Linked DNA regions of Drosophila melanogaster. The protein of the gene in region 1 purifies or fractionates together with the protein of each later gene. This does not show direct contact. Each region holds a gene or a part of one and is shown in the gene's direction. Other genes may lie near its edges. The genes, in order: mAcon1, Scp1, TpnC4 and TpnC41C.

What was found.
Region 2: the proteins of mAcon1 (region 1) and Scp1 purify together in Drosophila melanogaster (affinity purification with mass spectrometry, with the first as the bait; one large-scale study listed by BioGRID). This does not show direct contact.
Region 3: the proteins of mAcon1 (region 1) and TpnC4 purify together in Drosophila melanogaster (affinity purification with mass spectrometry, with the first as the bait; one large-scale study listed by BioGRID). This does not show direct contact.
Region 4: the proteins of mAcon1 (region 1) and TpnC41C purify together in Drosophila melanogaster (affinity purification with mass spectrometry, with the first as the bait; one large-scale study listed by BioGRID). This does not show direct contact.

The regions. Positions count from the first base shown.
Region 1 is NT_033779.5:21,166,576-21,173,694, forward strand, and holds mAcon1 (mitochondrial aconitase 1), read left to right. Parts: upstream 1-1,994; 5' UTR 1,995-2,196; coding exon 2,197-2,229; intron 2,230-3,615; coding exon 3,616-5,253; intron 5,254-5,319; coding exon 5,320-5,823; intron 5,824-5,884; coding exon 5,885-6,073; 3' UTR 6,074-6,609; downstream 6,610-7,119. Other genes in the region: CG43345 (uncharacterized protein), read right to left, coding at 104-373, 428-1,639; CG31627 (uncharacterized protein), read left to right, coding at 6,713-7,119.
Region 2 is NT_033778.4:2,965,039-2,969,593, reverse strand, and holds the start of Scp1 (sarcoplasmic calcium-binding protein 1), read left to right. Parts: upstream 1-1,541; 5' UTR 1,542-1,610; intron 1,611-2,249; exon of another isoform or gene 2,250-2,277; intron 2,278-2,402; 5' UTR 2,403-2,447; coding exon 2,448-2,499; intron 2,500-4,555.
Region 3 is NT_033778.4:5,502,902-5,509,586, reverse strand, and holds TpnC4 (troponin C isoform 4), read left to right. Parts: upstream 1-1,720; 5' UTR 1,721-1,900; coding exon 1,901-1,903; intron 1,904-2,792; coding exon 2,793-2,826; intron 2,827-2,875; coding exon 2,876-3,274; intron 3,275-3,328; coding exon 3,329-3,349; intron 3,350-5,938; coding exon 5,939-5,943; 3' UTR 5,944-6,150; downstream 6,151-6,685.
Region 4 is NT_033778.4:5,064,717-5,072,062, reverse strand, and holds TpnC41C (troponin C at 41C), read left to right. Parts: upstream 1-1,852; 5' UTR 1,853-2,075; coding exon 2,076-2,081; intron 2,082-5,058; coding exon 5,059-5,086; intron 5,087-5,139; coding exon 5,140-5,535; intron 5,536-5,599; coding exon 5,600-5,634; 3' UTR 5,635-6,826; downstream 6,827-7,346.

The DNA.
Region 1 (7,119 bases):
GAACTTAAATTTATTTTAGAATTTGAGGTTAGGTCTTGCGTTTGTTATGACATGAACAGCTGGTGGCGGTGTTGCAAAATGCCGGCAGGTTTAAAAGCGTAATTCAAATTCGTAAAATTGGTTTCAGTGGCAATGCATAGGGACTAAACCAGTCCCGCAGAAAAATTGCCATTAAATCTGTACGGAGACTATTATTGTTGTATTCCATGTCCTGGAGTACTAATCCAATGCCAGCTGAGTAAGTAAAATGCTCTCCCGAAAAACTGGAGGTGCCTATAAAGGCAACCCTATCGGTGACTAAGTACGAGTTGCAGTTAACTCTACCGCCGGAAATCCTCTCCAGTTCATTTGTGGTGGGTACAACAAAACGTCGCTGCAAGAGCAAAGAAATTGTTAATAAAATTGCCAATACTTATAAGCTCATTACCATTTGTATATCTACTCCTTCCGTAATTTTGTCGAGCGCTTGAAGGGACCTCAAGAAGTGATCCTCGCTGGGATCCGAATACTTCCACCATGAAATAAGCACCTTAATGGCCACACCGCGTTCCAAGGCAGCTCTACGCAGGGCATTGTCTATGACCGGCCAGTACTCCAATTTGTTACTCCGTCTTAGCCGAGGAGAGTACTCCATTAAGGAGAGGTATATAACGTCTGTGGCCTTGTCGATAGCCTCTAAAATGGCATCTAGCTCTCGGGTCCTTCCAGTAGCGATCAACTCTGGTGGTGATGTGGATAAATAAGCTCTCATTGTATGTTTTTTGTTGATGTTTAGCAAAAGCGGTCTTCTTTGATTGATGTGCGTGTGGTATATCCACGGCCAGCTCTTTGGCACTTCATTGCTGCCCAGGTACCAATACGCCTTGAAGATCTTTCCCAGATCTAGAGCAAGATGGGGACAATTTCTGGCCAGCACACCTAGTTCCTTGCGTTGCGTCAGTGATCGCCAGTCCATGCTAGCTGTGCCCAAGTAGAAGTGCTCCCCGTCCACTAACCACAGTTTTGAGTGCAGAAAATTAATGCCCACGACGTCGGCTGCTCCGTAGTTAGCCAAGATACGGGCATCAGCATGCCACAGGCTATCGTGGCTGCGATTAACCACAATCCGCACGCGCAGCTTGGGTCTGCCGGCATCTCCATTCGACAGTAGCTGCTGAAAGAGTTGATCTCCAGGCCCGGTGCTGCTATCGTTGACGTCCAAGCCGCGCAGTGTCCAGTGCGGAGAAACGATGTCCAACGATGCCTTGGCCCTGCCTAGTAGTAGCTGCCAGGCATCAAAGGTGCTACTCAGTTGGGGGTGGCTTTGCCATTGGCTGTAGTTCAACCCCAAGGGCAAGCTCTCCACCAGTTCGAGTTGACATGGTAACGGCTTTTCCACCGGAACGGGGCTGTTTCCGTTTTCATTTCGATGGTAGGTCTCCCAAGGCAACAGAAGCACAATCATCACCAGAACGAAGAGTATAAGCACTGGTATGATGTAGCCGTGCTTGCAGGAACAGATATTTCGCTCATCCTGGAGCCCTAGGCCGCAATTGGGACGCCGGCAACACGATGTGGTCAAAGGGGTTGGCTCTTCCGGTGCTCTGGGCACTGGCTGGTACTCTCCGGGTATCTCATGCACTACGCGACGCTCGGACATGGCAAGGGGATCAGGACTAATGCTGACTGGCCATTGTCAAACATTTTTCACAGCCGAGCCTATTTATTATTCGCGCAGTTGTGGGAAAGTATCACCCGCCCACGCAAACAAATGGGCAGTGTTGGACAGCACAGCGCGGTAGTCGTCTGCGCTGGCTGCTAAAAAAAAGCTAAAGGATAAATTAATCCAAGTCCCTGCTCAGAAAAATAAGTTGTCGTCAGTGCATTATTTCAGCATTTACTTCGATTTAAGTTTTAACGCCATAGAGTCCATTAATTCTCTTGAAGTTAATAAATGTTTATCGCTTTAATTCAAAACTGATAAACTTTCTATGGTCCTATTTATTTAACGACCCAATTTTGGCGGGAAACAAGCCGGCGGAACATTGCTGACGCGTATGCGTGACGCCAGCTAACACTGGTCGCCGTGGTAAAGAATTTAGTCTGTCTTAAAATCTTCCGGCTGAGAGGGCTGAAAATTTTGACGGCTTCGAAGCATTTGCTGCAATATCAATTTCGTCGGGTTTATTTCGAGTATCGCTTAATCAGGACGCGACCATGGCTGCGAGATTGATGAACGCCCAGGCACAGGTAGGTTCTAGAGCGGAGCCTGTGCCTCCAGTCGGCCAATATATAACCACGGCTATATATACGTTTACGTATAGAATCTGTGAATGGAACCCCGAAATTCCAAGCTGCGATAAAGACAACTGGACAGAGCACTGCGCGAAAGTTTACAAAAAATCATTGCCCATTTCTTACACACCCAGCAGGATGTGGGCAGCGAAAAATAGCAAATTTTTCGCACAGCGTTTTCTAACCTAAAATCATAAAATTCGAAGTGGTTAGGTAACCGAGTTCGCAGTGTTTGTGATTCTACAGGCCCTGCATCCCAAACATGTATACTGAATACGCAGCAGTGAACCATGCGAAATCGTTAGCTCTCAACAATTAACAGCGATTCGTGGGGGTTCGATGGTTGGCATAGTTGCATTTACATAATCGCCGGGGTCCAGTTATTTAACCAGGAGGCGAACACCCTCTAGAGCATATATCTTGTGGCGGAGGACCGTCTTATCTGTGACAGGTTTACTTACACTTTGATAATGCCAGCACTAAATATAGCTTAAAAAAGTTGCGCCGTTTAACTTGAGTATCACGCGCATTGGAGGAGTTTTGCCTTTCAAGTGGGGTTTTTCCACGTCAGCTTCGAGAAAGGTTTCACTGTACTCTGCCCATAAGTTAACGACCTATTTGACGTAATTGTCATTGCAATTGTTTCGATTTGCGTGTATGTACATACAGTCGTGTCGTCACGTGGTTCTTCTAATTGGAGTGTTCTGTAGAATATTGTAACAATTTGAAAGGCTTACAAACAAACTATATTTCCAGCTACTTTTTATTTTTTTATTCTGCAGTTCGAAGAACCTTAAAGCACTTTGGCTAGCACTTAAAATACTTTGATTGTTAAATGTAAACTTTCAATCATTTTACTAATCTCAAAAAAATATTTGGAAAAATTTCACTCTGAAGCGGTAAATGGATCAATGGATTATTTTTGGCTATTCAAAAATTTCAAGACGATTAAAATTTATTAGCTTTAGCAATATATTGATCTTAAAACAAGTGAAAGCGGTGATAATAATGTTTTACATTTGTTATATATGTATGCAAGATTAAATGTACAGTAAAGAAGAATTTTCACAGATATGGTCCCCACATGATTGTACTCTTGTCAGAATATCTTTGGGAATTATCATTTCCTGATAGAGGAATCAATTTAATTAAAGTGACGAGGACTCGTCCTCTTGACATGATAATCAAGTGTTTATTGGGCTACCAAGCGAATAAATAAAATCTCACAGTGTGCGAAGTGCAAATAAACTAGAGAATCACATTGTGTTAATTACTTGATCTTGATTGCTAAATGTACCACTTCACCATATTTAACAGTTCGACTTCTTATCTGCTTTCCAGGTGTGTCGACTGGGCAAGCATGTTGCGTCCGAAGCCACAGTGGTGCGTCAGTTCCACGCCTCCTGCTACACCGCCTCCAAAGTGGCTCTGTCCAAGTTCGACTCGGACGTCTACCTGCCGTACGAGAAGCTGAACAAGCGCCTGGAAGTGGTGCGCGGTCGCTTGAACCGCCCACTGACTCTCTCCGAGAAGGTGCTGTACTCGCATCTGGACGATCCCGCAAACCAGGACATCGTGCGCGGTACTTCGTACCTGCGTCTTCGCCCCGATCGTGTGGCTATGCAGGATGCCACTGCACAGATGGCTCTGCTTCAGTTTATCTCCTCCGGACTGAAAAAGGTGGCTGTGCCCTCCACTGTTCACTGTGATCATTTAATCGAGGCCCAGATTGGTGGACCCAAGGATTTAGCCCGTGCCAAGGACCTGAACAAGGAAGTGTACGATTTCTTGGCCAGCACCTGTGCAAAGTACGGATTGGGCTTCTGGAAGCCAGGCAGCGGAATCATCCATCAGATCATTCTGGAGAACTACGCTTTCCCCGGCCTGCTGATGATTGGTACTGACTCACACACCCCCAACGGTGGTGGCTTGGGTGGCCTGTGCATTGGCGTTGGTGGTGCTGATGCCGTCGATGTGATGGCCGACATCCCCTGGGAGCTGAAGTGCCCCAAGGTGATTGGTGTCAATTTGACTGGCAAGATCAGCGGCTGGACCTCGCCCAAGGATGTTATCCTGAAGGTTGCCGATATCCTGACCGTCAAGGGAGGCACCGGTGCCATCATTGAGTATCACGGCAAGGGTGTTGACTCTATCTCTTGTACAGGCATGGCCACCATCTGCAACATGGGTGCTGAGATCGGAGCTACCACCTCTCTGTTCCCCTTCAACCAGCGCATGGCTGATTACCTGAAATCGACAGGCCGTGCTGGCATTGCCTCCGAAGCCCAGAAGTACCAGGCCAAGATTCTGTCCGCTGACAAGAACTGCGAGTACGATGAGCTGATTGAAATCAACCTAGACACCCTGGAGCCCCATGTTAACGGACCATTCACTCCCGATTTGGGCCATCCCATCAGCAAGCTAGGCGAGAACTCGAAGAAGAACGGGTACCCTATGGACATCCGTGTAGGTCTTATTGGCTCTTGCACCAACTCTTCGTATGAGGACATGGGTCGCTGCGCCAGCATCGCCAAGGATGCCATGAGCCATGGCCTCAAGTCGAAGATTCCTTTCAATGTGACTCCCGGATCAGAGCAGATCCGTGCCACCATCGAGCGCGACGGCATCTCTGAGGTGTTCGACAAGTTCGGCGGTACCGTTCTGGCCAACGCTTGCGGTCCCTGCATTGGACAGTGGGATCGTAAGGACGTTAAGAAGGGCGACAAGAACACCATTGTCACCTCCTACAACCGAAACTTTACTGGCAGGAACGACGCTAACCCGGCCACCCATTGCTTTGTCACTAGTCCCGAGTTGGTCACCGCTCTGTCCATCGCCGGTCGTCTGGACTTCAACCCGCTGACCGACGAGCTTACTGGTGCTGATGGCAAGAAGTTCAAGCTCAAGGCTCCCTTCGGCGACGAGCTGCCCGCCAAGGGTTTCGATCCCGGCCAGGACACCTACACTGCTCCCCCACCCGTAAGTACATTTAAATTCCCAAACTGATTTATATTGTTCTTAAGAATCAATATGGAAATCCCACAGAGCGGCGAAAATGTCAAGGTGGCTGTCGACCCCAAGTCGACGCGTCTGCAGCTGCTGGAGCCTTTTGACAAGTGGAACGGCCAGGATCTGACCGATCTGACTGTGCTGATCAAGGTTAAGGGAAAGTGCACCACTGACCACATCTCCGCTGCCGGACCCTGGCTGAAGTACCGTGGCCATTTGGACAACATCTCCAACAACATGTTTATCGGAGCCACCAACTACGAAAACAACGAGATGAACAACATCAAGAACCAACGCAACGGTAGCTGGGGAGGAGTTCCCGACGTAGCCCGCGACTACAAGGCCAACGGCATCAAGTGGGTGGCCGTCGGCGATGAGAACTACGGCGAGGGTTCGTCCCGCGAGCATGCCGCTTTGGAGCCCCGTCACCTTGGTGGTCGTGCCATTATCGTCAAGTCCTTCGCCCGTATCCACGAGACCAACCTGAAGAAACAGGGTCTTCTGCCTCTCACCTTCGCCAATCCCGCTGATTACGATAAGGTTTGCGACTCTTAGCTTCTGTGACTAAGGTCATATTAACCATATCTTTGTACTTCAACAGATCCAGCCCACGAGCAAAATCTCCCTGCTCAACCTGAAATCCCTTGCGCCTGGAAAGCCCGTAGATGCCGAAATCAAGAATGGCGACAAGGTCGAGAGGATCAAGCTTAACCACACCCTGAACGACCTACAGATCGGCTGGTTCAAGGCCGGCAGCGCTCTCAACCGCATGAAGGAGCTGGCCCAGTAAATGGTCCTGGACCTACTTAAGACACCCAGTCAAGAAGCCTGATCCCAACCTTCTTCCTGTAGGTGAACACACTCAAATTCACAACGGAAGCAATCGAATTATGGTATTGTTATTCAATTCTTTTCAAATTGTTTATATTATATTTTGACTATATCGAGTGTGCAGCTTTAAAAGTGAATTATGTAGCCGAACGATAGCGAGAAATTGTAAGAGTTTTATATATATAATTATACACAATTTTATTTTTAATTCTGGCTATGCATGCGTTTCCTTCAATTTTTGTTCTTTTTGAATTTGTCCAAATGCTCTACAGATTGCCTCTACTATGAAACTGTTTTAAGTGCGAATAAAACTCAAGTAATATGTATTAAACCGATTCTTTCATTTAATAAACAACAGTTAAAACAAAAAAGCGGACAATAAGTGCCGTCAATTCATCCCGTGTCCTCTATATTTTCTTCATTATTAACATAATTTTATCAATTATAAGACGTAAGACACAACAATTTGCACAATAAAGCATAATATCAATAATAGAATCTACTGGGGCAGATTACTTAATTATTCACCCATAGCTTTTGGAAAATATGTCGAATTGTCAATCAAATATAAATTATTAGTAAATCCAATTCTAGGACTATGAAACGCAGAGCTCAAAGTAAAACTTCCGTTGCTTCCAGCACGGATTTCTTTTCACTCTCCGACAAGCCATCGTTGGGAAGAAGACGAGCCCTACTGGCTGCAAAACTTAAGCGTCAGGAACAGAGTACAACGTCCTTTGACTCCAGCACAGGCTCCTACACTTATACAGACGCCACTTCTTTGCGAAAGACCCCCATCACCTTCTCACCTAGCCCGGAGTTCATGAAGACCGCCAAGGCTAAATTAAAGTTAATCGCATTGTATGAAGATCACAAATGCTTGTGGAATCAGCGCAACAAAGATTTCTTCAATTTCGAGCTCAAAGACAGAATCTGGGATGCGATTGCCGATGAAATGAAAGCGGACTCGCCATCTGGGTTTTGGAAACATATGATTCACAAGCT
Region 2 (4,555 bases), on another chromosome or scaffold:
AGACAACACATTTGTACATCGTAAAAGTCGCAAACTTTATAGAAATACTAAGATATCATTGTAAAACCAATAGTTAAAAACAACAGAACTACAACAACTTAGACTTTCAAGAAATCTTTGCTTTCGAAAATCTTACCTATATATACATATATAAATATGCGATGAGAAAAAAATTGTAAATATAAGAAATTAATTAATTAAATTAGTTGATTGCTCTCCAAATTTAGTTCTGGGAAAGAAAGATCTGTGTAGTTTTAGCAACTCCGACAACTTATCCAGAATGGAAGAGGTCGACGACGGAATCATCCTATTAAACGATTACGATGGAATCATATCCTGGATCCTCACAGAGCTTCACCTACTTTGTTTAGCTATCAAACGACTCGATGATTATCGACAACAGGGGGATTCGCCAACTTGGAACCTACAGCCCTGTCTCCTAGTTCGCCTCTTGTACAATTTACAGATGAAGAAAAAGAAAGACTGAGGTTATATCTCTTGAAACACTGAACCGTTGCATATACATAAAAGGCCAACAGCATAACCCTACTGACGCTCTTCGACAATACTCTGATTATCATCCTGGGCCTTCACACCTATAGTCAAAGGAAGAGAAGCATAAACTTGCAGCTTAGACCTATACCGGGAATGGAAACAAAAGTTAACATCAGCTACCTCAGTTCAATAACATTCCCTACATAAATTAGAAAGTTAAAGTTAATAACAATGAATTCAACATCGGTCTACAACAGAATGTAATAGAGTAACAAACCCCAAATATGCAAGCTCAGCGCCACCAAGCAGATTTCCCAAAATGTGTTTGGCAATTGTTTCCGCTCCCACCAGCGCTTGTGATTCCAAGAAGCCGACGTCGATCCTCTGCCAATAAGGACAGCACAGCCGACAGCTAAAGACTCGCAGCTTATAAAGACGATGTTCTCACTTAAGTTTATAGTCCAACTCTTTTAATGCTCGTTACTCATAGAGTAAAAGGGTATACTAGATTGGTTGAAACAGGCAGAAGAAAGCGCTTCCGACAATAAAATGTATATATATTCATGATCAGGATCAATGTATCGATTTGCAAAAAAAAATTTTGCCACGCCTACTCAAACGCCCCAAAGCCGACAAGCCGGTCACCCCCGCACTTTTGAAAAATTGTTAGATATTTTTCATAATTTTATTGGTCGTGTATATTTCTATTGATTTGCCAAAAAACTTTTTGCCACGCCCACTCAAACGCCCTAAAGCCACCAAACCGGTCACGCCCACACTTTTTTAACAATTTTTTATTTTTTTTTCATTTTATTTTTTTTCTAATATCAATCAATCAATCGATATCAATCGATTTTCCAGAAAAATTATGAACTTTCGCGTTAGCATTGACCCTAGCTTAGTTACTGGTATCTGATAATCAGGGAACTCGACTATAGCCTTCTCTCTTGTTTTATATTATTATACCCGTTACACGTAGAATCAACGAATCTAATTTTACTCTACACGTATGGGGCATAAAAACATATATATATTTTCTTATATGTATATATATTGTTTTTATATAATATTATATCTTAACAGTAATAGACAACTATAGACCGCCGATCACAATGGTAATAAGACATAAAACTGTACATTTGAATGTTGAATATTGTATCTCCTATATATGTATATGTATATGTACATAAAACCGAAAATAAGAATTGTGAGTTTTATAAAATGTGTGCTTTATAATAGGTTATGCATGTACTATAAATATATACTTGTGAATATACATGTGTGTAAGCTTGCAAAAATAGTAAATATTTTTCTATTAATAATCATGTCAATTAATTATCAATTCTTTAAATGTTAAAATGATTTTTGATATATTTTACTATTAGTGTTCAAATACAAAATTAAATAGGGGTGAATTGTTCGCTTTTTTTCCATTTTAAATGGTTAATTAGAGCATAATCTATATGGAAACTTTCACGAATAACATTGTAACAGGTAGGCTTAATATTTGGTAGTAGAAAACTGAATTGTTATTGATTGTGATTTCAAAACAGTGCTATAGTTTACTTAATACAATAATTACATTTAGTACAATGGAAACTCCTAATTAAAAATAAACTACCTTTTGAAAGAGAACAAATATATACAAATGCACTTTCTATACAATACACATTTGTATGTATAATGTTTAGATACATACCATGTAAATAATGTTGCCAAAGTGTACGACTTTTGGCAAAAGGTTTAGCAAATTTAGTTAGTCTGAAGTAAGCTATTCCGAAGGTAAGGAGCTCATATTTACTATTCAAGAACTTTTTACCTAAAAGTACTATTTATAGATACCAAAAAATTTTAATTTATTTATAGACTTTTATTAGTTCAGATAGTAATGGTATTTCTACTTTTAGCTATTTACATTTTATGAGGATAAGCTCCAAACAAATTCCGTCATAATGGCTTATTCCTGGGATAACCGTGTCGATTTTGTCGTTCGGTATATGTATGGTGAGTAGAAAAGGACTTAGGCTTATTAAACGTATCCTATAGTGAATTAAAATACCTTAAAAATTTACGTATATTTTATACAAAAAATTTAAGTTTATATTCCATTGCATTGAATACATAAAGCCATTTTTATACATATCTTCGGAACTATCCGAAATCCGATATTTTAACAATATATACATTTTATTTTAATTTTATTTAATATGGGACGACTATATCATATAGCTGCATTAAGAACTGCTTGAAAATTAAACACCCAAAATAGAATATAAATAAAAGTTTCGTTTTTTAACACTATGGGTGCTAAGTAGACATATATGTTTTTGTAATTACTGAAAGGGTATTTGGATAGGATTAATCAAATTTGCAAGCGCACAAATACAATAAAAATAACATTTACAATTGCTGCGGATCAGATTTATGTAACAATCTCAAGTCTGGCAATTTAAATGTTGCGCCATATTTATGATGTAGTTTTATAATCCGTTAAAATGAGGTCACATGGAACCGGTCAAGTGGTCATTGCAGCTTATATGAGGTTAAGCCAAAGACATTTGAAGAACAAGATGCGTAACGCCATACAATTTTTTGCACACAATTTTATCGGGATGGCTCCAGAGGTGGCTCAGCAGTTCTTTTCTACGCATACAGTGACAGCCGACAACTGTATGGTAATGCATTGTAAATTTGACAATTTACAAGTTCATAGACTTTACATCTGTATTATCTTTGTTTAATTGGCAACATGTAAAAAATTCTTGGCTTGCATGGCCTTAACCAAAGACCCTAGTGTCTAGTTTCTTTGCCTTAACTATATTATTATTTGAATATATATGTACATAATATCACAAAATAAATTTCAAAGATGACTATATTAGAACAAAGGTTATTAGGGCGTTCACTTGCCCCTTGTGAAAAATTAATAAGGCAATCATTGTTGCAATAAACGTGTTCGTGTCTCAAGATATGACTTTTGCAATAAAAAGTTTTCATATTTTTATTCATTTTATAAATATTTATTTTCTACTACTTATTATTTTTGTGAAATATCTTTTCCTCAATGTAATGACTTCTTTTTGGAAAAGTTATGTTTTAATTTAAAATTTTATTATTTTATTTTATTATCCGTTTGATTAAAGCTGACTATACGCCGAGCTTCTCTATTTTTTGAAAGTTTCGCTATATAACCTAGTTTATATATTTAATTAAAGTCGTTTTGTTGCAATATCGTACTTTAGGTGATATATTCAAGGTGTAAATTCGTAATTATTATTTTATTTTATCATATTGCTAAGAAATTGGGTATACTAGGGTATACTAGACTCGTTGAAAAGTATGTAACAGCCAGAAGGTAGCGTTTCCGACTATATAAAGTATATATATTCTTAATCAGGATCAGTAGCGGACATGTCCATCTGTCCGTATGAACGTCGAGATCTCAGGAACTATAAAAGCTAGAAGGTTGAAATTAACCATACAGGTTCTAGAGATAAAGACGCACACTCATTTTTTCATATTTTTATTAGGCTTTAAAATTTCTATGGATTGGCCACAAAACTCTTTGCCACGCCCACTCTGACGGCAGGTTACAGCTAGGTTATGTTGATCATTAACCGAAATTATATTAGGCTAAGTTAAGCCGAGCTTTAAATCTCTCTAAATGCCTATGGGACTCTTGTGGACTCCAAATGGCAACCTCAACTTCACTTGGTCGTAGGGAAAATATTTCAGAGTGTTCAGACAACACGGTTTTCGAGTGTTCGCTTGGATCTCCAATCGCTAAGCTATGAAATCACTGAAATCTATATTCATTGTTAATGGTTTACAATATTAATCTTTGTGCAAATTAAAAGTGTTCCTTTTTAATTATTTGAACAAAAAATTTTTATTTTATTATAATTTAATATTTTATTCATGATAGACCTTTTCACTTATACTATTACAAGACATTCTTTTTATCTCTTGTCTTAAATTTAAAACTGTTCACGATCTCGTCCCGATTCAGACTGATCTTCTAAATATTAATCCTAATCCACTCAACCTTGGCCAGAAGCTT
Region 3 (6,685 bases), on another chromosome or scaffold:
CAAACCCCGAAACGGGGTTGGCAAGCATTTTAAATTAAAATAATACTGCTTAAAATGTAATGCTTAACCACAACTCTATATGGACAGACAAACGAACATGGCCAAATCGACTTTGCTTGTGATCCTGATCACGAATGTATATACTCTATAGAATCGAAAACGCGTGAAATACTGATTACATTATATAGGATCAGGGGACAAACTGCCCTTCCGCTCATCTGCAGGCGTATTTAAGATCAGATCTGTTGTCTTTCCTAGCAGTTTTTCGGTTAATATTTTCTTGAGGTGTAAGATGACGGACCATTGCCAAATAATCACACTTTGGAGCTCCAGCAGAACTTGAACTGTAATACTCCATTCAAATTGCTAATTGTACATCGCTATATATGTACCTACCTATACGTAGCTTTTAGGGCCATTGGAAAAGAGTGCTTAGGCACATGCATCATTGGCCCACTTGTGGGTTGTAACTTTGTCAATGTGAGAGACGCCACGTAAATCAAGTTTCGGAGCGACAAGTCATAACGGTCATAGCGTCAACGTAAGCCTAAAAAGCCCAGCCATTGGCTATTTCACCGTATAAGACAGAAATTCGTTTTCACAGACCGTCCAACCATCAATAATTAAAAGCCATGATGGAACTATTGTCTTTCACTGGGCGTCTTCCTTGTAGAATGCGACAGTGCCTGCCTTGGGAACGATTCTATAGGCCCAGCAGTCCCCTCCATGTCATCTGCTACGAGATGTAGGCTGTGTACCACATTATTCTAACGTGTGGGCGTGGCAGTTTTGGGCGGCTTGAGGGCGTTAGCGTGAGTCAACAAACTAGCGCTGCGTCTATGTCTCTGGAATGGTAATCTCGACAGACGGAAAGGGTCAGATCGACTCGGCTATTGATCCTGATCAAGAATATATACATACATACATTATATGGTCGGAAACGCTACTTTTCAGCGAAACTAGCACTTTTACTTTACGAGTAACGGGTATAACAAACAATGAGATCACACATTTTTGAAAGTGTGAAGGTAAAATTGGTTTCGTGAAGTACTTTATCTACGATAAAATCATATTAATTAACAACTTTCACTAAATTAATAAAATATAAATAGCTTTCACCCCATTTTGACACTACGTGATGAATGCACCAACTTCGGTAAAATATATGCAATGGTACATTTTGATACTCATCAATTATCGCGCATTTCTCTTGATTAGGTAGATTAGGAAGAAACAGTAACAGGAAAGGAAGCTTGATTCAGTAAGTAAAGATATCTTAAAGATATAAATATTACTGTGCAACGAGGAACGCTTAAAAATATAAGTTCCGCGTAATATTTATGGTTGAACTGTCAAAGAAAATGTTTGTTATTTCCCGTATAGATTAAGTGTTATGGTAAATCATTAATTTAAGAAATATGTTGCCTTTATGGTATCAAAAATACTTAAATTTCTAATTTTATATAAACTAAAAAATAAAAATTTTTAATTGGATTATTGCTTTTACAATTTAAGGAATAAAAGTTTCGGCATAAAGACCACCCTTACTCTTCGAGCGCTTCTTGCTCTTATTTCCTTATCATCGATTAGGATGAAAATTTAGCCGTTTGTATACAGATGTAGTCGCTTACATTTTTATTGTTAGCGTTCGTTCGGAAAAGCTTTGGCATTTTCCATTGCCGATGAACTTAGCTAACATAAAACACAAATCGAATTGTTTAAAAGCTTGGTGATAATTGAAAGTAGCGTACCCTGTTTCTTTAGCTCCTCTTCTGGGACACTTTTTAGATTATCAAAAATATCGTATAGTAATAGTAATATAGTATTTTTATATTATATTTAAAGGGTTTTCCTAAACCTTAGCGGTGTAATTTGATTTAACAAAAAAAAACTCTTTAAAATGGTAAGTTACGATATTATAACTTTGATTAAACTAAAAATTAATGGAGCACATTCTGAATTTTTTATATAAAATTTACTGTTGACTAAATATAAATATAAATATAATTATTTACCCTTGCTATGAAAAAACACAATTTATATAAATATAAATTCCACAAGCGATAAAGTATAAAGTATTAAGTTTGTAAAGTGGTTGGAAATAAGCTGTCAAGGGAAAGTGATTTTTGATATATTTTTTTTTTTGATATAGATAGTGTCTATCTACGTATGAGACAAATAGGAACTTAATTGTCATCACTGCCGTTAATCTGCAGATCATTTTCAAAACATTAAAATGTAGACGACAACGTGCGCTATGTGGATTTTAATAACCAGACAGTGAAGAAGATATTACCTTAAAATTTTTTAATTTATCATTAACTTAGTATTTATTGCAATAACACCCGCTACCCGTTACTCGTAGAGTAAAAGGGTATACTCTATTCGTTAAAAAGTATGTAACTTGCAGAAGGAAGCGATTTCTACCACATAAAGCATAGACATACATTCTTTATCAGGAACAATAGCCGAGTCGATCTAGCCATACATATAAGGGATATATTGTTCTACATCGCTAAAGTAGAGTCTTCGAACATTTATGGTAAATCAGTTGCATACGGACAGACGGGCTACCGAGCAAAAGTTGACTTCGTTACAAAAAATGCACATAAGAAAACGTACCCTTTTTGTGCATGAAAGACATGCATCTGTATGCAATATATTTTTGGAAATACAACATACCCGTCCACCAAACGAGTATAATTATGACATTACTCTTGTAGACACCAGGCTGACATGAACATATAGTTCATTATCTTAAAGATTTTATTATATATCCATACTTCTTTCAGGCCGATGGAGAATACGACAAGGAACAATTGAGAAGTAGTATAAAATTAAACTTTTATTTACTATTTAAAAAACGACGTATTAGTCCTTAGGAACGCCTTCAAGGCTTTCGACCACGACGGTGCAGGATCGATCGAACATGCTGATGTATCTAGCATTCTTGAAATTTTGGGTCAGAAATTAGAACCACCTGCGGTAAAGGCCCTTATTAAAGAGGTCGATAAAGGAACAACTGGTAAATTGGATTTTAGCCAGTTCTGCAAACTGGCAGCTCGCTTTATTGAAGTTGAGGAAGATGTGGGAGCTCTTCAAAATGAGTTAAAAGAGGCCTTCCGTGTATATGATAAAGAGGGGAAAGGATACCTGACAGTTGCAACACTAAGAGGCATTCTTCACGAATTGGACGATAAGCTTTCTAACCAAGACTTAGATATGATTATAGAAGAAATTGATGCGGATGGATCCGGTACGGTTGATTTTGACGGTAAGTAGTTTAATATAATTAATCAAACATTCAATAATAACGTTTTCATTGCAGAATTCATGCAAGTTATGACAGGTAATACATGATACCCTTAAACAAATATTAGTTCCACCTATGTAAAAAAACACATTCAAACAAAACAATATTATTCTGACCTTCTTTACGGTTTGCCGTTTAAGGGTGAAGTGACGATACCACCCACGTGCAAAAAATAATCAACTTGTATGACTACAATTGATATTGCATATATTGCATAAATTATAAATTCATAATATAAAATTTACGCAAACGGCGCCCGTTTTTCTAAAATAATTCCTGTCCACCAAAACATTTTCTATTAAACGATTTATTATCGTATTGCCTTGTAAGGATGTGTTTTTTTTTTATACTTGGTTTTTAATCGTCAACATAACGGCATAAGCAACATCAGTTATGACCGTAAAATGTTGCTTATGCCGTTAGACGATTAAAAACTAAGTGTGCTAAGGTCTCTATACCTAAGACAAGAGAGAAGACCACAGTCCAGTTATGAAATCCTAAAGAAAAATGAAAAAAAAAAATTGGGCGTGGCAGTTTGAGCGGCTTGTAGGCGTTGAAGTGCTGATGGCAAAAAGTTTTTTGGCAAATCGATAGAAATTGTCAAGCTTATTACAAATTTAAAAATATTATAACATATATTTTTTTTTTTTTGGGTATGCGTGCCACGCATATGCATGGCAATGGCTGGGATCCAACGTAGGGTCTTTTCTTTAAGCTTTTCCGGGTTTAAGGTTCTTAGGACCACGATTCCTGTGATCGATTCTGATCCATATGGGCATGTCCGAATGTATGTCCCTAAACATCTCCGCTTCTGGGGAGAATCCTCTGTTACATCCAATACCTCGTGTTTTTGTAGGGTTGCGTTAATCGCTGCTTTACCGTGCCACTTTTTATACAACATGCAAAATGCAACATTTGGTACAAAAGGAATCAATATTATTTACTGACGTGCCAAATGTTCATTGGCAAATAGGAATAGAGGGATGCATAACAAAAACCGGGTGTTGACTTGAGTGTTGATCACCTTACATTAAGAGATCAGTTGAACAAAGAGCGTAAAGTGAAACATCAATGAGAAAGAGTGAAAGTCAGTAAAGTATCAAACTGATCAAATCAAAGTAAACTGGCTTGTTGTGATCAGACTCAATATGGAGTTGGCTTGAGATTAAAGGGTAATGTCAAGGTCCATACAAAGAAGTAAAAAGTAAAGAAAGAAATGTAGACAAGGTTGGCGATGGTGAATGTCCGGTCCTTTAAAAACATCCACCATATCTGAGTTCGTGCCGAATAGCAAGTTAGATGTACCGAATGTTGAAGTTTGAAACAAGCCAGAAGAGCAAGTAGGCAGACAAAAACTGAGAGACTGTCGTTTATGATAATAAAATGACGTCGCAGAAGTATTTGTCTTCAAACAGAGCCCGTTTAGTTACATATATTTTTGACCAGAATTCATCTTCCAACACTGGAAACTCTTAGTGAAAGCACCTATCGATAGAATTGGAGGCAGATTGACTAAGAGAATAAGAACGGTACATAGTGTAAATAAACAACTGGAAGTTACGTAATAGGCAGCAAATTATGAAATTTCTTGGAACATTCCTTTTAGGTCCAGAGGGGGGGAGGGAAGCTGCTCCCCCTGCCCTACCCTGGCGACGCATTAATTGCTTTGTAAACTTCTATAGATTTGCTAAGAAAGTGTCAACATTTTTCGTTCCCCCTCCCACTAAATGAGTAATGAGTATCTGATAGTCCAGTAACTCGACTAGAAGGCAGATGACAAAATGACACCGATAAAAATTGGTAGAAAAAACATGATATTATAGAATGCTATAGTCCAGTGCCTCGACTATCAGATACACGTTACTCAGCTGATAAATTTAAAAACAATAAATATGCCTCCATATATGGATGTTATATATTTGCCGCCCGAATAAGCTACCGATTGGGCGTGGACAACATGTTTTTGGTATATTTTCAACACATTTAAGAAGTGTGTGTGTGGCGTTAGAGGCGCGACAAAATTGAATTTTATATATATATATTTTTTTATTATATATTTTATAAAATAAAATGTTATAAAATATCAACATATTTTTAAGACATAGATTAAGATTCCTGAGACATAGACGAAGTGCAAGGTTGTTTCTCAATTTTGCCACGCCTACTTTTACGCCCACAAGCAAATCAAAGCTGCCACGACCACACTTTTTAAAATGTTTTTATATTATTCATTTTTGTATACGTCTTATTAATTTCTATTGATATGCCAATACCCAATCTTCACAAATCTGCCACGCCCACACTTTTGAAAAATTTTTTGATTATACCAAACAATTTTGGACGCCCCTTCTAGCACCTATAAAACGACCAAAACTGTCACGCCCACCTTTTTTTAAATTTTTTAATATTTTTAATATATTATTCTCTATCTAATTCTATCGATATGCCAGAAAAATTATGAAAATTCCCATTTTCCCTTCCACTAGCTGAATAACGGGTATCTGATAGTCCGGTAACTCGACTATAGCATTCTCTCTTGTAATTTCAAATATTTCGTTCCTTATCCTTATATTTCGTTATATAAATATAAATATTTTTATAAACACTAAAACTTTTCTCTTCCAGGTTGACCCACATTGCTCTTTTTTGACATGCTGTGCAAAAGCTCAGATATGGCAGACAATGCAAAATCAAAAATACATAAAACAATAATAGCCATTAGTTTTGTGTCAAATATTATAAATAAAATTTGATTGAAATGTATTAGCATCATTTTTCTCTTATCTAATTTAAATATAAACAAATATCGGGCCAAAAGCAGATAAGGCCGATGTACGAACAGACGGATGAACATATGTGGTAAAGTAACAGGTGTGGCAAGGCTGTACTGTTTCCTCTTCTCCTTGCGTTCTTTGATGCTTAACTTATTTCATTTATTTTCAATGTATGGGAATAAAGCGACAAATTATCTGAGATTGGGAATAAATGTGTTAGAGCGTGACCGATAGTGCTGTTGCTGAACGTGGTTAAAGTGCGAAAGAGATACGAGAAAAGGAAATGAACCATGCTAGAGGCGAGAGCGTCAGTTGTTGGTTAGAAGCCAAAGCAGATAGAAGAACTCGTTGATACCTCAGCCTTACAAAATAGATTACATTTTACAGAAAAGATGTACAACAACACTCAAAATCCTTATGAGCCGATATCAAAAGTGGGATCTGTGCCGCACCAAAGACACTAGAATAGTGTCTTTGGCCGCACCCTGCGATTTCCGAGGGAACAGTGGCGTGCAGTTCTCGAAATGCAATACGGAATTTCGATGAACTTGCGAAAATCATGCAAGCATCGCCGTCATGTGAGCAGTAGCATACACTA
Region 4 (7,346 bases), on another chromosome or scaffold:
GGCAAGCTAATGCACACGGGGCCGGCTACACGCAGGCGGCACCGTTGCAGGTAACACTGCTGAGAAACTCTACGAAAATGCCCGTAATACTCGGAGACGGCATAATAGTAGTTAACACTGATGGGAAAACTCTGCGGCAATGCCCGGAATACTCGCATGCGACATGATCACAGTTAATACACGGACTCGTTCATTTGTTACTCATATTCCTCCCTTAGCCATAGCTGTCCCTGTCACACTCGAAAATGAATATGATATTATATAATAAAAAAATTTGATTCTTCACAACGGGCTTGTTCCACAGTTTTTGAAATCGAAGGCCATAGGCCAGACTGTCTTATTTTAGTATTCAGAAAAAATATTGCCACCGACTTAGAGTTGGACTTATCAATCCAAGGGAATCAAACGCCTTTTCTATCGTAGAAAGAATTGATCGTCTTGTTCTGTTACGAAGATACGAATTCATATCATAAGTCCAGTTTGAACTTACAATCCGATCTAGATATCTTTCAAATATGGTGCCGTGATAACGTACTAAACTTAAATGGCTCCAAGTGTAAAGTTATGACCTTTTGCCGTATCAACCAATACACACAACTTGCACTTAAAGGGTCGCTCTTTAGACAGAATAAAACGGGTTGATGATCTTGGTGTTTTTCTGGACCTAAACTTAAATTTTAGACCATATTTCGAATATTAAATAAGGCCAGGGGTGTGCTTGGCTTTATAAAAAGGTGGCCAAAGGAATTTTATGATCCTTACACGACCAAAACCTTAGTCCGTCTGATTTTTGAGTAATGGCCACCTGTCTGGAGTCCTCAATACGTCGTTCACTCGGACCGCATTGAATCGGTCCAAAAAAACGTTTTTCTGTTAACTCGGGCAGCGCCCAAGTTATCAGTGTGTCCAAAGGGGGAAGCTGATGAGTTTGGATATAGTTATCGGTATTCCCAAAGGGGGCATACTGAGCTCTTTCGAGTTTAAAACCAGAGTGGTCTTTATTGTGTCGGAGAAGTCTCCTCTAGCTCTTGGTTACTCAAGTTTTTGTCTTATAGATAAGTGCTTTTGGTTTTAAGTGTACATAGGTTCTTAATGTAAATATAATAATTTTTTTAGATTTTGCACCACTTACGGGGAGCATTTTCGAAATGTATTCAAACATAAATTGGCCAGAAGATAAGCAAATAAAGCAATAGATCCGCTATTCAGCTAGTGAGAGCGGGACCGATTTTTGAAACTTTCTGATCAAAAATGTATATACTTTATAGGATCGGAAAATCAACCTTCTGCCTGTTACATATTTAATAACGAATCTTGTAGTCAAGGGTATAAAAAATATATTCCGTTGTTTTATGTTTCATAATATGATTTTTTCATGATTTTTTATATATAATAACTGCGAGGGTGTATAAGCTTAGGAAATGTTATATTTTTATTCTATTCATAATTTTTTTGACCAATTTCTATAAGTATGCCCAAAAAGATTGGCCACGTCCACAATAAATGTAACCGCTACCAGGTTGCAATTGTGAGTAATCTCGTGAAGAGTGTTTTCTAATTTTGTTTTTTGTGTCTCCATTTCCCTTACACTCCCACACGCTGAGTATCAGAAGGGCGAGAAACAAAATTATAGCGTTCGCTCTTGTTTTTGAATTGCAATTTTTGTTCACAAATACCATTTTATAATACGTTCCAAGATCTAATGCAATGTACGGTTTATAAAAATAAAGAATTTTGATGAATATTGTGTATCTAAAAATAAAACTCTGAGTATTTTTCTGTCTTGTGGATAAAATTATCTTTGAGTTACATGACATACGGAATATTTATGTTGTCTTTTTTATTTGGTTTTAATTGTTGTTTTTGTTTCAACAAAAATAGTTGCAGAGCTATCATCGTATTAAGTCTAAAATGTTCCTGAATGTTGAGATGCATCCACAGAAGACACATAGCCCATATGTGTTTTAATCGCGTCAATACCAAGTTTATTTCTCGTCTTCAATTGTTTATTTAGCTTTTAATTAACGGAGTGTTCAATTTTTTAATATTAGAGATTAATCCAAAGAGCTAAAAAAATGAGCGTAAGTTAATCGGCAAAAAAAATAATCCCAGTATAAGTTTCCAAGCTACTTCGAGTTAAAATTTCAAGATTAAAGGAGTCAAAATTATTTCAGATGATCTCAATACTGAACGTTTTTCAGGGTGCAATCAGTTCAAATAAAATAAGTAACGATATAACGTTTTATATAGAGAGTTAATGCTTAACGCCCACGTTCCAGCAATGTTTGCTCGATAACTTTTCAATTAAGTCAGAGAATAAACATATTGTACATTCAACTAATATTTCTTTAAACATCATTAAACAGCTCACACATGTATTTGATTTGCAAATACTACATTTTTACTTTAAGGAATCTTACGTTTTTGGTCCGTCTGTCAGTCAGTCCGTCTGTCCGCATGTACAGGTACATTTACATCTATATACACCCATTCTTGATCACTAGTCGAATCGACCAGGTCATGTCCATCTTCCTGCCTATCTAAGGTATAACAAGAGAGAATGCTATAGTCGAGTTCGCGAACGCGAATTGCATTATTTTTCTGGGATATCGACAGATATTGGGGAGTAAAATGAGAAAAAAATAAAGAAAAGTGTGGGCGTGACCGATTTGGCGGCTTTAGGGCGTTTGAGTGGCGTGGCAAAAAGTTTTTTGGCAAATCTATAGAAATTTACAAGACCTTCTAGCTTTTATAGTTCCTGAGATCTCGACGTTCATACGGACAGACGGACGTGGCCAGATCGACTCGGCTATTGTTCCTGATCAAGAATATATTTACGTTATATAGTCGAAAACTCTTTCTTCTGCCTGTTACATACTTTTCAACAAATCTAGTAAACCCTCTACGAGTAATGGGTATAAATATCGAAATCCGTGGTTAATTTGAAAGTAGCCTTAAAGATTCTTCTGAATCCGTCGTTTCTATTTTCTAGCTTTTATGGATCCCAAAATCGCGTGTATATGATCAGAATAGCTGACCAACTGACGACCAGATTGACTCGGGTAGTGGTCCTGATACTGATTATGCTTATACCTATATTCTTTTTAGGGACGAAAAAGCTTCTTTCTACAAAAATATCAAAGATGGGGTTTATTGAATTTGTTACTTTTCTAAAACAGAGATTCATATTTAGAAAGAAAAGGTAAAGAAAGTGCTCTAGTTAACAAGTTAAGTGGGTCAAGATTAGTGCAGATAAGTGGAGCTAACTTGAGAACATCTTACTAAGAAATAGAAGAAGAGAGAATGCTATAGTGGGGTTCTCCCAGTTTTCTGCGGTATTATGGCGTTAGAGTGGGCGCGGCAAAAAGATTTTTGGAAAATCGATACAAATTTAAAAGACATAAAAGTTTTTTTGCAAATCGATAGAAATTTACAAACAAAAAAATTTAAAAATATCAAAACATTTTTAAAAAGTGTGGGCAATTTTCTGCGATTTGTGGTCGTTAGAGTGATCGTGGCAGCATGAGTCAATGAACTTGCCTTCCGTATATGTCTCTAGAATCTGTAAGCTTAATTTCAGAAAGCTGAAATCGAGACGCTGAATACGGACAGACGGACATGGAAATATCAACTCGGCTTTTGATGCTGATCAAGAATATATATACTTTATATGGTCTGCCTGTCTGGAAATCTAGTTAACACTTTTATCCTACGAGTAACGGGTTGATAGAAAAATTGTTTTGCACGCCCACTCTGACGCCCACAAGCCGCCCATTTTTCTCATTATATTCTCTAATTTCTCCCTATGTCCAAAAATGTCTCGTTCACACTTCCAGCTGAGAAATAGCAATTTATCATGTTTTTGAAGCCTACGGATATCCGATCTTTTAGAGATCCCTCTGTAATTGCTTACATATATTTGTTTATGAAGAGGTATCACGGACTCCTCCCATATATATAAAGGGTAAAGTAGAGGCTTGCATAAGACTTTCGCACAGAGCCTAAGCACTCAGCGTGTTAAGACTGGCTTAACTCGCTGAAGATCGTAAAGTAGTGAGCTTTCGTTTGAAGTGGGGCAAAATTTCAATTTGGACTTCTAAGCCGCTTAAGAGTAAGGGTGTTCGTCGGGGAAGTTTAATTCCCACGATCCCTCTTTCATATTTTTCATCTTAGCTTCAAACTCCTTCACCACCGTACTTTTCGGTCGAAAATCATCAGAACACTTCAAAAAATAAAATGTCACTCACGCAAGAAAATTTAATATTTTCCTTTTTAATGTTATCGGCTTTGGAAGACAAATCTTAAAATTAAAGTAGACATGATGATTGGGGACTTCGGGTACTGTTTATTTTAATGATATATAAATCTTGGTAAGCCTATCACCTCTCCAAAATAATGAGAATTATTATTAAGTTAATTTTTTAATTAAAAAAAATGATTTGTTTTCCCACCGTTCGTCTGTCGTCAACTCTCACTACCGCATAAAAGCTGTCGATCATATAACGATAGGGCAGTGTGCCCGGCTTAGGACTTGTCTTAGCCGACTAGAGTTTTTGTTGGTGTTGGCTAAATGTTTGTACTGAATGAAATATTTCGCCCCCGGTTTATTAACTTTTCCAATAACTTTTCCACTTACCGGAATAGACTCGTTTATTGGCGATTTTCTTTCGTTGCTATTAGTGTGACCCATCATGCAATTCTTGGCTTTAACCTTGAATTTTACAATTTTATAAAATCAAGCAAGGTAGGACCTCCTTTGGAAGGGACAATTTTAGCAATTCAGCTATGTACACACCACAAGGCGGCTTTAAAAATGGCGAATATTGGAGGAGGAAAGCCGCTTTGCATTCCAATCGATTTCCAAAACTATCGTTGACCTTACGTGAAATAAAAACTAATCACTGGCATTAGATTGACATCAAACCACACATCAGGCAGTTAACAATTAAGAATTCAAACACAGTTAAAGTCATGACGCATAAATATATTAAATGAAATTGTATTTTAGTATTATGCCTATATTGTATATTTCTAAATAAACACCCTTATTTTTCTTAGGATGAATTGACTAAGGAGCAAACTGCATGTAAGCTTATAACCCATTTACTGATTTCTTAACTAAAAAGCATTTCCTTATAGTACTACGTAATGCATTTAATGCTTTTGACCCTGAAAAAAATGGATATATCAACACAGCTATGGTGGGTACGATACTTAGCATGTTGGGTCATCAACTTGATGATGCAACTCTTGCTGACATTATCGCTGAAGTCGATGAGGATGGTTCGGGCCAAATCGAATTTGAAGAATTTACCACCCTGGCAGCCCGCTTCCTTGTGGAAGAGGACGCTGAAGCTATGATGGCTGAATTGAAGGAAGCTTTCCGCCTTTACGACAAAGAAGGAAATGGATATATAACTACTGGTGTTCTTCGTGAAATCCTGCGCGAACTAGACGATAAATTGACAAATGACGACCTGGACATGATGATTGAGGAAATTGATTCCGATGGATCGGGTACTGTTGATTTTGATGGTATATAAATCATACAGCTGAATTACAAACGCTTTGCTATTTTATAACATATATTATTTTATAGAATTTATGGAAGTAATGACCGGTGGCGACGACTAAAACAATATCAAAAGAGTACATCGAAATAAGTATTTTAATTTAAACAATGCAATCAAAATTGAATGACATGAGAAAAAATTATATTATATTATTTTGTCTAAAGTAAATAAGTAAATTGATCGTATGAAAACGTAAAATATTTTATTCTTACGCATTTTTTTAAAACCCTTTTAAGTTACTTTAAGTAGTCCTGCCAAATGGAATAAATCTCTATCGGTTCCACGCAAATAGTATAGTTTAGTTTTGTATAGTTTAGTTTATAGTTTATAGTCACGTTGGCCGTGTTGTTAGAGGCCTTGGACTGCTTGCGCCACTTTAGTCGAACTGCATTTTCTTTGTTGCTATCAGTCTGACTCAACGAGCCATTTGTTTCCCCCCTTTGCTTCAGACTCTTGGCTGCTCGGAATTTAACGTTTCTGTAAGGGAGGTGGACGAGTACGGAGCGTTAAGAAATTTTTGGTACATCGCAGATTGAAGTCCAAGCGGATTAACGGATTCACTCGCCAGTCAATTTAGAAAAATTAGCTGGAAGACGGATAATTTTAAGGAATTATGCGTAAAAACGACAAGGATTGTTTTTAGTCAAAAAGCACGAAGTGATAAACAATGCCTTAAGAGAATTATAAAAAAGATATTGTCCGATTAATAAATCTGGAGAATTGAAAGGTAAAACATTAAAGCAACTAGAGCGATACAATGAAAATGATACAGGCCAATATTAAATTCCTCATTAAGCATTTATAAGAGAGGATAGTCTTATCACTAAGCTTCGGGTGGTGTTTGACGCAAAGACCAAAACAACAGATGGGAAAAGCTTTGGTATTCACATGACTAGGACATACATTTAGAGGATAGGCAGCACGTGCTTTCCCCTCCCACCACCTCTAGCTGACCAAATTGCAGCTGAAGTCATTGTTCTGCAAGTGGGTCATTATCTACTCTACCTCCACCGCCGGGAATGTCGGTGTCAGCTAGCGCAGCATCAGCACCGGAAGACAGGCTAACGACTCTGGAGCTCTGCAGCGTACCGATGATGAAAGGGCATACGGACCTTGTGTTTGGCTAAGCGTTGGGCCGCTGAGCTTACGAGCGGCTGGCGAAGCGCTGGCCACTCGTTCGATTTTCGATTTTTTTTTTTATCAAATTATAAAATTGTACTTAATTATAGAAATAAAAGAAACTAAGACCTTGAAGTATTCATTTTTCATATGGTGAAAACCGAAAGCATGCAACTCCCTGCAAGGATTCCAACTCCAAGTAGTATTTTCGACTGCTTAGATTGGCGCCCGAACAGTTCGCTCATCACGAGGATGGAGAATGAAAAAAAGGGGAAAATGCTTGCGACCGGTGCACCGCGGTGATGAGAAAAAACTATAAAATGTGAACAAAAAGTCCAAATAATAAAATACAATAGGCTGATACGCACCACGGTGACAAGATAGTTCACGGGTGTGATGTGCCAGATGTGACAACTAAATATTTAAAAAATCCAAATATGAAATAAATATAAAAATTAAATAAATATATATAAAAATAAAAAAAATATGGCAAAGCGTTAAGCTTGTTCAAGGGCATAAGATAAGATAAGATAAGATATATGAAATCAATTATGGTGCACGGTCGTGAGGGGAAACCCTATTGTGCGGAGACTTACCAGAAACGCTAAGAGGCGTTGAATGCGATCCATACCTTATTAGGCAATGCCAAAACTG